Linked DNA regions of Drosophila melanogaster. The protein of the gene in region 1 interacts with the protein of each later gene in a pairwise test. Each region holds a gene or a part of one and is shown in the gene's direction. Other genes may lie near its edges.

Region 1 (7,102 bases):
GATAAACCTATGATAAATCGCCCATTCCCAAGCCTCATCTTTCCGAGCTTAGCTCTAATTTCACGCTCGCCCGATCTCACTATTATATGGGAAACTGTTCTTCCTCCAAGTTGCCAACGGGCGTATGAGTAATCTAGCCCGAATCCCATGGCCTCCTCTTGCGGCTCCTCATCATCGTGAATTTTTTGCGAAAAAACTTTCCTTCTTATTATTTATCCCATGTGACAAATTTGGTGCACAAGATTTTGCTCCGCATAATAAATTATGCGTTGCAGTTGGGAAGGCGAAAAAAAGGAACTGAAATTAAATTATAGGGAAAGAAAATGCGAGAGAGTTGAAAGTTTTCCATCGTTCGTCGGGATTGGAAAGTTTTCCGTGCACGTTTTAATTTAATAATCGCTGTCTGGAGTCGTTAAGTTGGGGCAAAGTTTTCTGGCCAGTTTACCGGATTTGACATTACACTTAATCGCTTAAAAACGCTTTTAATTGGAGCGTTGTTTGCGTGAATAAATCATGTAATAAATAAACAAGCCGGCACACTTGTTGGCCATGCATTATTTATGGCCCGAATCAATAACTGTGACACTTTGGCCACCATTTCCCATGCATGCCAATGACTGATGCAGATGAGCAGGACCAGGATGTGCAGGATGCGGGCTGTCCAGGACGCGGGGGATTGCTTCTGCCAAATGTCCGAGCCCTGCAACCGGCAGCCTGGCTCCTGTCACACAGTTAAAATGTGATAAATTCCATTAAGTGACAGGGAAACGCACACGAAATGCAAACGTAAACTGTATCTGAGCTTAGAGATGGCCAAATCAGTCGGCATTAGGCCGTAAATTACGACGTTTCAGTCTGGAGTTTAATAGCTTGCTTATTCTTTCGCTTAGTGAATTAATATAGGTTTAGTAATAATGGTAATAAATCAGAAATACTCATACTGTTAAGCAGGCTATTTACATCATCTACAACATAGTATAAATATATATTAATTTCTAATTGTTAATTTAATTTTTATAAATTAAAAAAAAACTTGTGACTCGCATCTCTATGCTTTTGGCCCCACATAGAAATGTTTTGAATGGACAGGCAAGAAATCCATTTTGTGTGGCGCCAAATCAAAATGTAGCAGCCAGAAACAGACACACACACTCTAGCACGCTTACCCACACACAATCGCAAGCATCAAGTTGAAAGTTGCATGTTGCACATTGAAAGCCAAAACTGACACCAGCAGACATTTAGTACGCATCGCATATTGAAATTGTAATTTGATTTCTGCCTTTTGCCACCGACTGTCCAACTTTCCATCTGGCTGTCTCCCTCTGTCGTACATCTCCCTCTCTCTCTATCTCTCCCTCTGTCTATCCCTTTCTAAATTTGTATTTCCCCGATTGAGTGGTATTTCTATAGCAGTTTGCATGCCCCAGAGGTCCTTGCCCCGAGTCCTGACAGTTGCGTATTTTGCAACCGAATAAACCCCATTGGAGCTCAAGGACTAAAAACTGGGTCGAGCCAAAAACGAAGGGGGTGAGCTATTTAAAAGGTACTGAAATTTATTTAGACTACAAATTATGCAAGTAGTTTGTGAAATTAAAAAAAAAATTGCTTAATAAAAGGAACTCCTTTAAATGATGACTACGAAGTGCGCTTAAAACTGTACGATCCAGTAAATAATTTCAGTTAAATGTTCTGTCTGAGTTGAAATGATTAAAAAGGACATCATTTGCCAGCTCTTAAGCACGGGTTGTATTGAAACAATGCCTGTGAAAAGGGACTTATCTGGCTACGGCACACCTGAGGAGGTTTCTGCACCTGACTCACCCCATCGGGGGATCAGAGAGCTCCACCACCCGCTGCACTTGTGTGCTGACAAAGCCTCTTGGGGCACTTAAATCATTATTTAATTTGAATTTAAAATGCAGCAAGGAATTCTCCACGGCTGTCGCTGTTTGTCGTCTGAAACAAAGCGCGGACAAATAAATAAAATAAAATGGCAAGCTCATTACAGGCCGACTGCTGGACTGCGATGGCCATAATGATGATGATGATGATGATGATGATGACGATGATGTGGCAACAAGTCGGAGTCGGGCATCACTTCCAACAATGCCCCGTGTACACGCACTCATGAACAGTGGGGGCGAAAAAAAGTGGCCAACAAAGGCACAATGGAGCAGAGTCCACGCCCACCGCCCACCGCTGGGGTGTCCCACTTGGCCGGCTGCATTGTTGGTTTTTATTTACGGGGACGGGTGGAGGAAGAGCGGAGTGCAGGAAAAGCGCGGAACAGGAAAGCGGGGAGGGGAAACAGCGCCTGCGGCATCTGGGGCATTGATGCCAGGTGACAGACGGCAAAATGGTGGCGCGTCCTTCTGTGATGCAATGTGTGTACAATTTTCAGCCTGCATATGCCGCCCGTTTTACAGCTAATTGATGGCTATTTACATTTTAAATCGCAAGAAACTTTAAAACCAAGTTGGCCACAAATGCAACTTGGTTGTAATTTTAGTTGCGGCGGATGAATAGTTAACATAGTTAAAACCTTTATAATAGCTTGTGTATTCGGGGTAATACCCCTTTTGTAAAATATTTGAATCATTCATTTTATGCAAAATTAAAACACTAATTATTTCCATAAAGTTGACACTTCTTAAGAGCTGTAAAGAGCTGTGTCGTTTCTCATACTATTTTTTAAAGCGTTCCACTTTTTTAACACTGATTGAATAAAAAACTACAAACTAGATTCCCTAACAAGTTGAGTCTTGAAGATTGCGAGCTCGTGAATACGAAATGTGGTTTCGTCATATTCGATTTTCGACACTTGAAATATGTCAATCCTTGGTCGTTTCAGTGGCTGAAAGAGACAAGTGGAGTAGGATACAGCAAATATTTTGCCTCTAGTCAACCTGGTTCAATATTCAGGAAGTGCAAAAAAGCTTCTGATTTTATTACAGGGTACTTGAAAGTACCACGGGTACATTGGTACAGAAAATTTTCATACTTTTTAGACAACAGAAACACTCATCAAATGTTCAAGGAGTAACATGTCAATTTAGCACAGTTGTCAAATAAATCGGTCGAGTTATCCACATATACAATAATACGGCACGATAAAGAAAAGGGTTTTATTTTTAAGAACTTAAGCCAATTAAAATATGGAAGGGCTATTTTCTGCCGAGGATGGCACACCTTCGTGCAGCTGGACATGCAGCAACAGCGCGGTTAAGAGAATCCAGAAGGAGCTGGACGAGATTACGAGGGATCCGCCGCAATACTGCAGTGCTGGTCCGAAGGAGGACAACCTGTACGAGTGGACCTCGACGATCATCGGACCCGCGGACTCCGTCTACGAGAACGGAATATTCAAGCTGGACATATTCTTTCCGGTTGAGTATCCTTTTGCTCCACCGGTAGTTATATTTCGCACGCCCATATATCACTGCAACATCCACCGCCTGGGCTTCATTTGTCTGGATATCCTGAAGGAGAAATGGTCACCGGCACTGACCATCTCGAAGATTCTGCTATCAATTTGCTCCCTACTCACCGACTGCAATCCCAAGGATCCGCTGATGGCCAAAATTGGCACGGAATATCTGAAGAATAGAGCAGAACATGACAAGAAAGCGCGCCTCTGGACCAAACGGTAGTAATTTGGAACTTGTTTTCTTAAAACTATGTAATAATCCTTATCAATTTATTTAGTTATGCCAAAGACGAATAGATGGCAGCTTCGCTTCGAATCGATGACTGACGTCAGACGTCTTTGTTGTTCACTACTGTGCTATATGAAATATACATATGCTGCTCCATAATATTGAAGGGAAATCTATTAATCACTCGGTACCTCTTTGTCTTTTCATTGACAACTTTGAAAATTGCTCATGCCGCAATTGGGGAACGTTGCCACGACCAGACACCTACGCCCATTGTGGTAATACTTTCGAGTGGCCGACCGATGGCGTTGCCAACAAACTTCCGCCAGGCGAAAACGAAAATTCGTTGGGGATTGAAAATGTTTTTTTGACATCTACTTCGTGCTTTTCATGCGAAAATATATACTTTGCGAAACAAAGGCAGCAAGCAAAGAGGCAAGGTGGCAAAGTAGGTGAGCTCCACTCTGTTGCTTATCGATTTGAAGTTGGGGCCAAGGAAACACGAAATTAGCACAGGCCACGTCGCTGCCAGGAACTGTCAAGTGTTGCATACTTTTTCGGGCAATTTGATGGCCAAGCGGGGGCGACTCGTCGGAAAAACAACACCGAAGTGGGGCACATTTGCATGAAACCGGAGTTGGAGGAGGACAAACATTAGCAGAAGTCAGCTGGAGTTCGCAGCTAAATCGAAAAGCATATTCTTTCGATGGGTAACCCTTTTTGGCAACCAACCCCTCGGCGGACCAAAAACCGGGTAGGAAGTCAAATATGCTGCCAAAGTTATTGATGGCATCCGCAGCAGAACAAATTTGCTTAAATCTGTTTAATGTTTTCCCATTTTTTGTGCCGTCCTTAACTGGATTCATCCCCAGCTACCGCTTTGATTTTCTCTTATTTTTTAATATTTATAAATATGCTTGCTCTTCAAACAATTTGTTAAAATGTTGGTACTTCTTTCAGCTGTGTTTCTGATTGGCCGCATAGATCATTGTGACGAGGGTGCTTGGCTGAAATAGGTCAGGCTATTGGCTAGAACACAAGCTATTTGAAAACGGGTCTAAAGATATATATTTTTTGAGTCATTACCACAGTTTGTATCCTAAGTCACAAGCCTTATGAATCCTCATTAAAATTTCGTAAGGATTCTTTACTCATCACTTTCAAATTCCCTTTCATTAAGCATTCCCAAAACCAGAAATGCCACGTTGCAAATAGTAAATACCCACTACATACGTATATTAGGGAAAAGTATATATTTGAAATTTTAAGCTATTGCCTTACCCGGGCACCATCGGAACTAAGCTACCCTGGCTACCCTTTAAGCGGCGGCTGCAAAAACGAGCGAAAATCCCCAACACACATTTGCAGCGTAATCAACAAAAGCACTAATTGCATAGAAGACACGCGCTGACATTGATGTCTGATGCGCCCGAGTGCGAAAGAGAGCTGTGGCCGTATAGAGCTTCATCTCTGTCTGCCTGCCTGCAATTTCATTTCGTTTGCGCTTCATGTGCAGCGGTATTAACGTTACAGTTGCCATTTACCTCTGCCAACGAGGGCGCTGATGACGCTAAGCTGTCTGCATGCGTAGACACGGCCACCCCCAGTTTCCACCCATTTTCCAACCATTTCCCGCCCGTTTTCCACCCGGCTTGCCCCACTCCTCCCGGCCGTCACACAACTTCATTAACGCAGAGTAAACACACGCATGCAGTTTTCGAGCTGAAGCCGGGAGCAAAGTGTTTGATGTTGTTGCCTCTCCTCGGGCAGTTTAAAGTTACATTTTAGGATCTGCTAGCTGCGTGTGGAAAGGGTGACGGCTGGTGCGGTGGGTGTGGCAGCCAGACATTCCCGAATGCTCGGCGTATTTGCTCAGGTGAGTACTTTTGGTTTGGGAGCGATAGGAAGGACGCAGGACGAAAGCTTTAAGCCCAACAAAGTCGAAAATTAAATTGGGCGAAAGGGTTGGTGCTTAATACATGCCAGGTTTCATAAATTAACATTTGCTTGTGGAATTGCAGTCTTTATTAAATTATGTGCTCTCGCTACAAATGCACAAATCAATTGAATTCTTTACGATACTATTTTGCAGTCAAGTGTAATCGACGACAATTTCCCGCAGCATCCTTTTAAATGTATGCAAATTAACACGATCTGAATAATTAAGTATAATTTGATGCCGAGACAGACTTTCCACGCATTTCCCCCCCCCCGCCCCACAATTTCACCTTATTTAGAACGGGCCCGAAGTCCATTAACAAAGCATAACGATGTGTCATGTGGCAAACACACATACCATAACCGCAAGTATCGCACTTGGTTTTCCGGCTTTCTCCGCCTGCTTTCTCCGTGCCTCTTTGTTGTTATTCATATTTACGAGGCTGCGCGTGTGTGTGAGTGTGTGTGAGTGCCTCCTTAGCAAGCCTAACGAACTGCCAAATTACGCTGAAATAGCATTAAAAATTTACATTTTTCCCAGCCTGCTGTTCTGCTGTTCACTTATTTTCCGTTTTGTGGACCGTCAAAAGCGAAAACGCCAACAAGTCCTTAATGACATTAAAAAGAAAGCGAATTTCCACGGGTGTCTGTGGGTGCGTGTAAGAAAAATTATTATTATTTCGCTGGCCGGGGGAAATTTAATCTGTCTTAAGATCTATTGAGAAGCAACTGAGCGTATGAATGAAGGCAAGCTGATTTTCCTGTTTATTTCCATTTCCAATTCCAGTAAGTACCTCTAGTAACTCACAGAATGCTCATATATGTGAGTGATTCAATTCCACTTGGCAATCCTGTTTGGACACCACGGACGACCTACAGATGTAGCCAAGAAATGCTAAAAATGCCACAGAATACTAAAGAACAGCACAGGAACAAAAGTTGCTGCAACTTGGGATGGGAAAGTTTTAATCTGCCGCATGCAAAACTTTAATCGAAAAGCTGCCAGCACCGAGGAACTAAGTCAAACTTTTCAAATTGAAATATCAACATAAAAAGGCAGGCGAAGCAGGGAAGCCAGATAGGAAAAATTCGATTCGTATGTTTTGTCGTCACATGCCAATTGCGTGTTTGAAGTGCATGCAGAAATTTAAGCCGAAAACTTTGATCGCCTTTCAGTGCGACAGAGACAAATGTGAAAGTTTTCCCGATGCTCTTGCAGCAGCGGGAAAAGCAGTTTGCAAAGTATGCAAAGGGCATGCAAACAATGGCCTGTGATGGCATTTTCCTCCCACTTCGTGGGCGTTGCATTTTCGCCACTTGAACTTGTTAACTTGGCTCTGCCAAAGTAATGACAACAATAAATATCCCTGATGGAAGGCACACATATTGATTCTGCCCACTGAAGTGCATGGAGCTTTATTTGGGAAAAACCAATGTTGTTTATACTTGCATTGCATATAAAAAATGATATTGTATTTTCAGAGGGCAAGGTATTGAAATCAATT
Region 2 (7,102 bases), about 20 Mb from region 1:
AAAGTCCCGCAAGCGTACCAGGGGTTGCGTTTCTTTCTCGGTTTAAAGCATTCCTTCGCACAGTGCCCTTGTAATTACGCAGCGGACATCTTTCTGTTGCTTTCATAAAAGATTGAGTTGATTTTTTGTAAACTTGCGTTTTCTTGCGTTCCCCTCGCTACGAATTGCAACGGCTAGCTCCGAGTTTTTTTCCCACCAAATTTGTTTGTGTTTTATTTGTTTTATTGCCTGACCAAAGAGAAGATAGGGTATCAAATTAGTAAGCTTTATTGCTTTATTGCTCCTTCGTCCTCAAACCAGAGCTCTTCCAAGAACACCGTTGCGACTCCCGGAAGCGCACGTCTGTTGGGACCGCTCCAACCACTGCCCCGTCAATGCTGCCCAAAACTGTAAAGAAAGTCGAATGAGATTTACCGAAAAACGGATTATTTAATTTAAATAATACATTGTTATTCAACGCTATGGTGAGGCTGCAATACTTCTCTCCACCGTGGAAGCTCGGTATTATCTCCATGATTCATAAACCTGGAAAGCCTGAAAAGAATCCTGGGTCCTACCGGCCAATCAGTCTCCTCTTTTCGATCTCGAAGGTGTTTGAGAGACTGATTGCTGCCCGGTTGGACAGGATTATGGAAGCGAAGGGTATCCAGCCCGATCATCAGTTTGGTTTACGTGCTGGACACTGTACGGTAGAACAACTACACCGAGTAAATCCTATCGGCTTTCGAAAACAAGGAGTGGAGTACTGCATTGCACTCTTCCTGGATGTACGTGAAGCGTTCGATCAGGTGTGGCACTCCGGTCTCCTGCTCAAAATTAAGAATACGCTCCGTGCACCATACTTCGGCCTCCTGAGGTCGTATCTTAAAAAGAGAAGATTTGCGGTACGATTGCACTCGTATCTGTCAGCCGGAGTACCACAAGGAAGTGTACTTGGTCCGCTGCTTTACTACCTGTAAAGCTACGACATGCCACGGGCAGACGTTAGCCTACCCGGGACGTCAATGTTGGCCACATTTGCTGACGACATGTGTGGCACCTAAAGGTCCTGCTGCAAACACGATGCTTCTGACGACATTCAGGACTGCGCATCAACATTTGCGGACGTTGGAACATTGGCATCAATGGTGACAAATCAGCGAATGTATGCTAAACACTGAAAAGGGGAACACCACCGGCTGTGCTCATCGATGGCACCCCTGCCCCCAGTCCAATTCAGCCAAATATCTTGGTGTAATCTTGGATCGGAAACTAACCTTATCGAAGCAAGTGAGTGTTAGCGCACATGTTAGCGTTATGGCGCCAATTATGGCTTGCGACAGTCAAATTCGTCGCATTCAGGCTGCCCAAAACGAAATCGCCAGGATGATTACCGGCTGCGAATGGTACGTAAGGAACACAACCCTGCGCAAAGACCTCAAGCTAGCCACTGTCTTCGAGGCAATAAACATACACTCCAGCCGGTACCACGACAGGCACTGTCCAAAGCTCGCCCACCAAGAAGGCTCCACAGGAGACAGCCGAAGGACCTCATCATACGGTTCCCCTTGACGAGAGCCAGGACATGATGATGATCTCGAATTGATATATTGTTAATTGTTATATTTGTTTTATTGTTTTGTTACAGCTAACTTTTGTTAGCCGGCGCTCCTGAAAGGGCTGAATTAATAACGACCAAGGTGACAAAGGGGTTAATAAAGTCTATAAAAAAAAATTAAATAATTTTATTCTTTATTTACTGTCTACAGGCCGGAAGCGTTTTCTCTTGTACTTCAATAAATAGGAGTTTTTATACCCGTTTATCGTAGAGTAACTACTAGATTCGTTGAAAAGTATGTAACAGGAAGAATGAAGCGTTTCCGACATTATAATGTACATGTATCTGTATTCTTGATCAGGATCAATAGCCGAGTAATGTCCGTCTGTCTGTCTGTCCGTATGAGCGTGGAGATCTCAGGATTAAGCATGAATTTTCTAGAGACAAACCCGCAGCGCTAGTTTGCTTCCAAATATTGAAATTTTGAAAATTGAAATTAACAATATTTGATGTAGTTGTGATTGTGATACGTCAGCAATGTGTAGGTGTCTTGCTCTTAATGTTTGGGTCAAATCCCGAATGATACCCCTGAGTGTACTAAAGAAATTTATATTTATTTTATTGGAAAAATTTTAAACATAAAGTGGGCTTTAAAACTGTCTTTTTATTCTGTCTTTTTTCATTCTTCTCTCTGTAAACTCTACAAAAAAAAAAACAAGGGAGAATGCTATATTCGAGCATATATGTATGTATATAAAGTCTTAAGCATTTCCAAGCTTATCAGGAACAAGCAATGATCTACTCCTGCCTTTTAGTCGATTATTATGTAGCGAGTTAACCAAAGTCTGAATACTAGCCAACTTATATTACGTTTTACATAATACAAACTATAGACCACAAATAATGTATAAAAATCTAGAGGAAAAAATTGTGAAGCTCTTGGAGTCATCTATAGTTTTGGCCTGGCAACGCTCACCCAATAAATTATTGAACCTGGATACAAAATTGGCCGAGGCATTGAGTAAAGCCAAAGAAGCATTCTCATTGGATAGAACATTACACCAATTTCGAGACCAGCACGGTGAAAATGTTTATCACAACTTCGATTTGACATATGCGGTAAGCACGACTAGAAGGATAATTTAAAACTTTAATATATATGGACTATAGGTTTTTTTTAATCTCGCGGAGCAATACGAACGGAGTGAGATGCACATCGAAGCCCTCAATACCTACAGCATTATGGCCAAAAACAAGATGTTTCCACACGTCAATCAGCTAAAACTAAATATGGGTAACATCTACTACAGCATGGGTATTTACCAAAAGGCGGTTAAAATGTACCGCATGGCCCTTGATTCTGTACCAAAGAGCTTAAGTCAGTTAAGGCTAAAGATCCGTGAAAACATTGGAATCCTTTTTATTCGCATGGGCTCTTATTCAGATGCTGCTTCTAGCTTTGAGTTCATCATGACGGAGCGGGCAAACATTAGAAGTAGCATTCACCTCTTACTCTGCTACTTCGCCTTGGGCGATGTGGAGAAAGTAAAGTTAGCCTTTCGGAGACTTTGTGATGTCCAAACCGAAGCAATAGAATCGGATATGGAGAGTGAGACGAATATCATTAAACTTCAACAGCAGGCTGAGCCGATTCAACAATGTGGCGAAATCGACGTGCACCAGACAACGAACAAGACACGAGCTCGGTTATAAGCGCAGAAGGTGGAGGTAAACCATACGGTATGGTCCATACCCGTTTCTCGTAGAGTAAAAGGGTATACTAGATTCGTTGAAAAGTATGTAACAGACAGAAGGAAGCGTTTCCGACTGATAATAATATTTTAACAATTGAAATTGGGTTTTATGTTTTATATTAAATCAGATAACAATTAACTAAACTTATTCAAACTTTTATAGAAATGTCTTAGTATAAAATGATAAAATAAACCAAAATGATTTGGTTTAATAAATACCGCAACCTTCTTACATTATACATTTAATTGGTATTTATTCACCTCTTTTACGCATGTGCTGCTTATACGTGATCACCAAGGCAACTCAACCAAAACAAAGACCAACCCCCAAAACCGTTCATATTGATTGAGAACCTTATTATACGCGTGTAGTGCGGTGAGACAAAAATGACTTCTCAAATAACTGCTAACGGAACGCAAAGATTACCGGAGCCTGTTTCCGAACATGAAGCGGTTCCGCCTCCCCCACCCACGGCGGCGGGCAGACCCAGACCCCCCACTTCACAGCTTTTTTCAGTGAGTTTTGAAAAAAAAAAAATTTAAAACGCTGTGTAATTTCTGTAATTCAGCGCGGCAATCTGGCCAGCAGTCGGGCAACAGGAGGCGATAAATCAGGTCTTGCAAGACCATCAACAGCAGTCCGGGCTGTGGGCTACGCTGCTAATTGCGAGTCTGCTCATCAAAGGTTCGAACAATTTTTCCTGGAGAAGGCGAAGCAACAAACGCTCTCGTCAAGAGCCGCTGTGGATGCCATAAAGGATGTAAAGTAAGTAAGAAAATTATTTTTAGAGGACGGTTGCATCAAAGGGGTTATCAAAAATCGTAAAAAAAAAATAAATAGAAAGGTACTGAAGTTAAAGGTATACTGAATCTATATTCATGTATTTATTCACTTGCACCTTATAAACTTACAAGCATACAGAGGTGGTCAAAAGTATTTACACAACGTGCTTTTTTTCTGTTGTCAATTGTCAAGAAGTGGAAAAAATAACTGTTCATGGGCTAAAAATAGAAGCATTAAACTTGTCTGTTGTCAGAAGTATTTACACACAATTTTTAAGCTTCAAAATTATTTGCACAGTGCAAATTGAAGATTAGTCTAGTAAAGTTCTAGTTGATGTTGATCGCTTAATTGGAACTTAAACTAACTGTTAACAGTTATGTTAATAGATAAAACTAAGCATTAAATTTGTAAAATGGCAAAAACAAAGGAGCTATCAGTTGAGCATCGAGCCGAGATTGTCACTAAAATTAAGGCTGGTACTTCTGCATCCAAATTAGCTGAGTTATACAAAATATCACGTAAAACTGTGTACAATTAGGTAAAAAAAAAGGACATTGGATTGGGAATTTTGGAAAATAAAAAGAGAACTAACCGAAAAGTTGCATTGAACCCAAGAGACTGCAGACACATTATAGGAGTTGTACTATATAATCCCACCATAAGTCCCGTTAAAATTGCCGCAGCATCGAAAAATTTAGTTAGAGAACATATTAGCGATAGTACACTGCGTCGCAGAATGAAGGAAGTTGACATCAACTCCTATGTTATTCGTGCAGTATTTAATATTACCCCAAGAAACAAGGAAAATCGTCTGGCATTTGCCTTGGAGTAAAAAGAGAAGCCTCTCGAATTCTGGTTTGATATTTTATGGACTGATGAAGTTGCGTTTCAGTTTCAGGGATCCTTTAGCAAGCAATTTATGCATTTCCCAATACAACTAAAGGGTAATGCCGTTCAGCCAATCAATCGGTTTGGTGGTGTCACGGTGATGTTCTGGGGCTGTTTAAGCTACTATGGGTTTGGAGACATGGTACCGATAGAGGGTACAGTAAATCAAACAGGATACCTCCATATCTTAAATGAGCACGCATTGACCTCAGGAAATAGACTGTTCTCCAAGAATGACTGGATCTTGCAGCAGGGCAATGCTCCATGCCACAAGGGCCGAGTACCAACCAAGTTCTTGAAAGACATAAATCAGGCGGTACTTCCATTGCTCATATTCCATATAAAATATTTCGTTTAAATTCAATAAAAAAGGCAAAAATGAATTAAAAAAGCTGTGTGTAAATAATTATGAATTTTTTAACATAACATAATTTTTAAACATAGTGGAATTTAAAAATGTTATTTTAATTCTGTCTTTTTTCATTCTTCTCTCTGTAAATTTTACAAAACAACAAGGAAAAGTCTTAAGCATTTCCAAGCTTATCAGGAACTAGCAATGATCTGATCCTTTTAGTCGATTATTATGTAGCGAGTTAACCAAAGTCTGAATACTAACCAACTTATATTACGTTTTACATAATTCAAATTATAGCCCACAAATGAAGTATAAAAATCTAGAGGAAAAAATTGTGAAGCTCTTGGAGTCATCTATAGTTTTGGCCTGGCAAGGCTCACCCAATAAATTATTGAACCTGGATACAAAATTGGCCGAGGCATTGAGTAAAGCCAAAGAAGCATTCTCATTGGATAGAACATTACACCAATTTCGAGACCAGCACGGTGAAAATGTTTATCACAACTTCGATTTGACATATGCGGTAAGCACGACTAGAAGGATAATTTAAAACTTTAATATATATGGACTATAGGTTTTTTTTAATCTCGCGGAGCAATACGAACGGAGTGAGATGCACATCGAAGCCCTCAATACCTACAGCATTATGGCCAAAAACAAGATGTTTCCACACGTCAATCAGCTAAAACTAAATATGGGTAACATCTACTACAGCATGGGTATTTACCAAAAGGCGGTTAAAATGTACCGCATGGCCCTTGATTCTGTACCAAAGAGCTTAAGTCAGTTAAGGCTAAAGATCCGTGAAAACATTGGAATCCTTTTTATTCGCATGGGCTCTTATTCAGATGCTGCTTCTAGCTTTGAGTTCATCATGACGGAGCGGGCAAACATTAGAAGTAGCATTCACCTCTTACTCTGCTACTTCGCCTTGGGCGATGTGGAGAAAGTAAAGTTGGCCTTTCGGAGACTTTGTGATGTCCAAACCGAAGCAATAGAATCGGATATGGAGAGTGAGACGAATATCATTAAACTTCAACAGCAGGCTGAGCCGATTCAACAAATTGGCGAAACCGACGGGTACCAGTCTTTAAACAACGAACCAGTCACGGGCTCGGTTATTAAGGCAGAAGGTGGCGGTAAACTGAACGAGACCGTAAAGTTTGCAGCCACAGTGAAACATCGTTATGTTGTCCAAGCACTTAAGAAAGACGAGCTGGCCGTATATAGAAATGAACGTCGTAATGCCGTTAAACGATCTATTACAATGATTGTAGACTTAATATCACCTTTTATCGAAGATAACTATAATGATGGTGAGTACGACTGAGATAAAATACAGCAGGTAGGATAAAACATAAATTCAGGGTATTATAATAATTATTGTTGTATAATTATACCCGTTACTCGTAGAGTAAAAGGGTATACTAGATTCGTTAAAAAGTATGTAACAGTATGTAACCCAGGTTGCCATGCCCACTCTAACGCCCACAAACCGCACAAAACTGACACGCCCACACTACTACAAACTACGACGCCCTCATTTTTGAAAAATTGTTGTATATTTTTTCATAATTTTATTAGTCTTGTAAATTTTAATCGATTTTCCAAAAAAAAACTTTTTGCACACCCACTCTTAAACCTAAAACCACCCAAAACTGCTACGCCCACATTTTTGAAAAAAAAAATGGTATTATATTGGTTTAGTGCGCTTACTGCAAGTTTAATATCAGGGCGCGTTAATACTGCTAACCACATTTAGGCATTGATAACCACATTGATAT

The links. The genes of interacting proteins can lie anywhere in the genome.
Region 2: the proteins of CG5440 (region 1) and nompB interact in a two-hybrid assay, tested with the Drosophila melanogaster proteins (one large-scale study listed by BioGRID).

Annotation. Positions count from the first base shown.
Region 1 is NT_033779.5:1,331,111-1,338,212, forward strand, and holds CG5440 (uncharacterized protein), read left to right. Parts: upstream 1-3,017; 5' UTR 3,018-3,158; coding exon 3,159-3,649; intron 3,650-3,708; coding exon 3,709-3,727; 3' UTR 3,728-4,404; downstream 4,405-7,102.
Region 2 is NT_033779.5:21,585,932-21,593,033, reverse strand, and holds the start of nompB (no mechanoreceptor potential B), read left to right. Parts: upstream 1-3,610; 5' UTR 3,611-3,678; coding exon 3,679-3,807; intron 3,808-3,860; coding exon 3,861-4,057; intron 4,058-5,615; coding exon 5,616-5,841; intron 5,842-5,892; coding exon of another isoform or gene 5,893-5,913; coding exon 5,914-6,634; intron 6,635-7,102.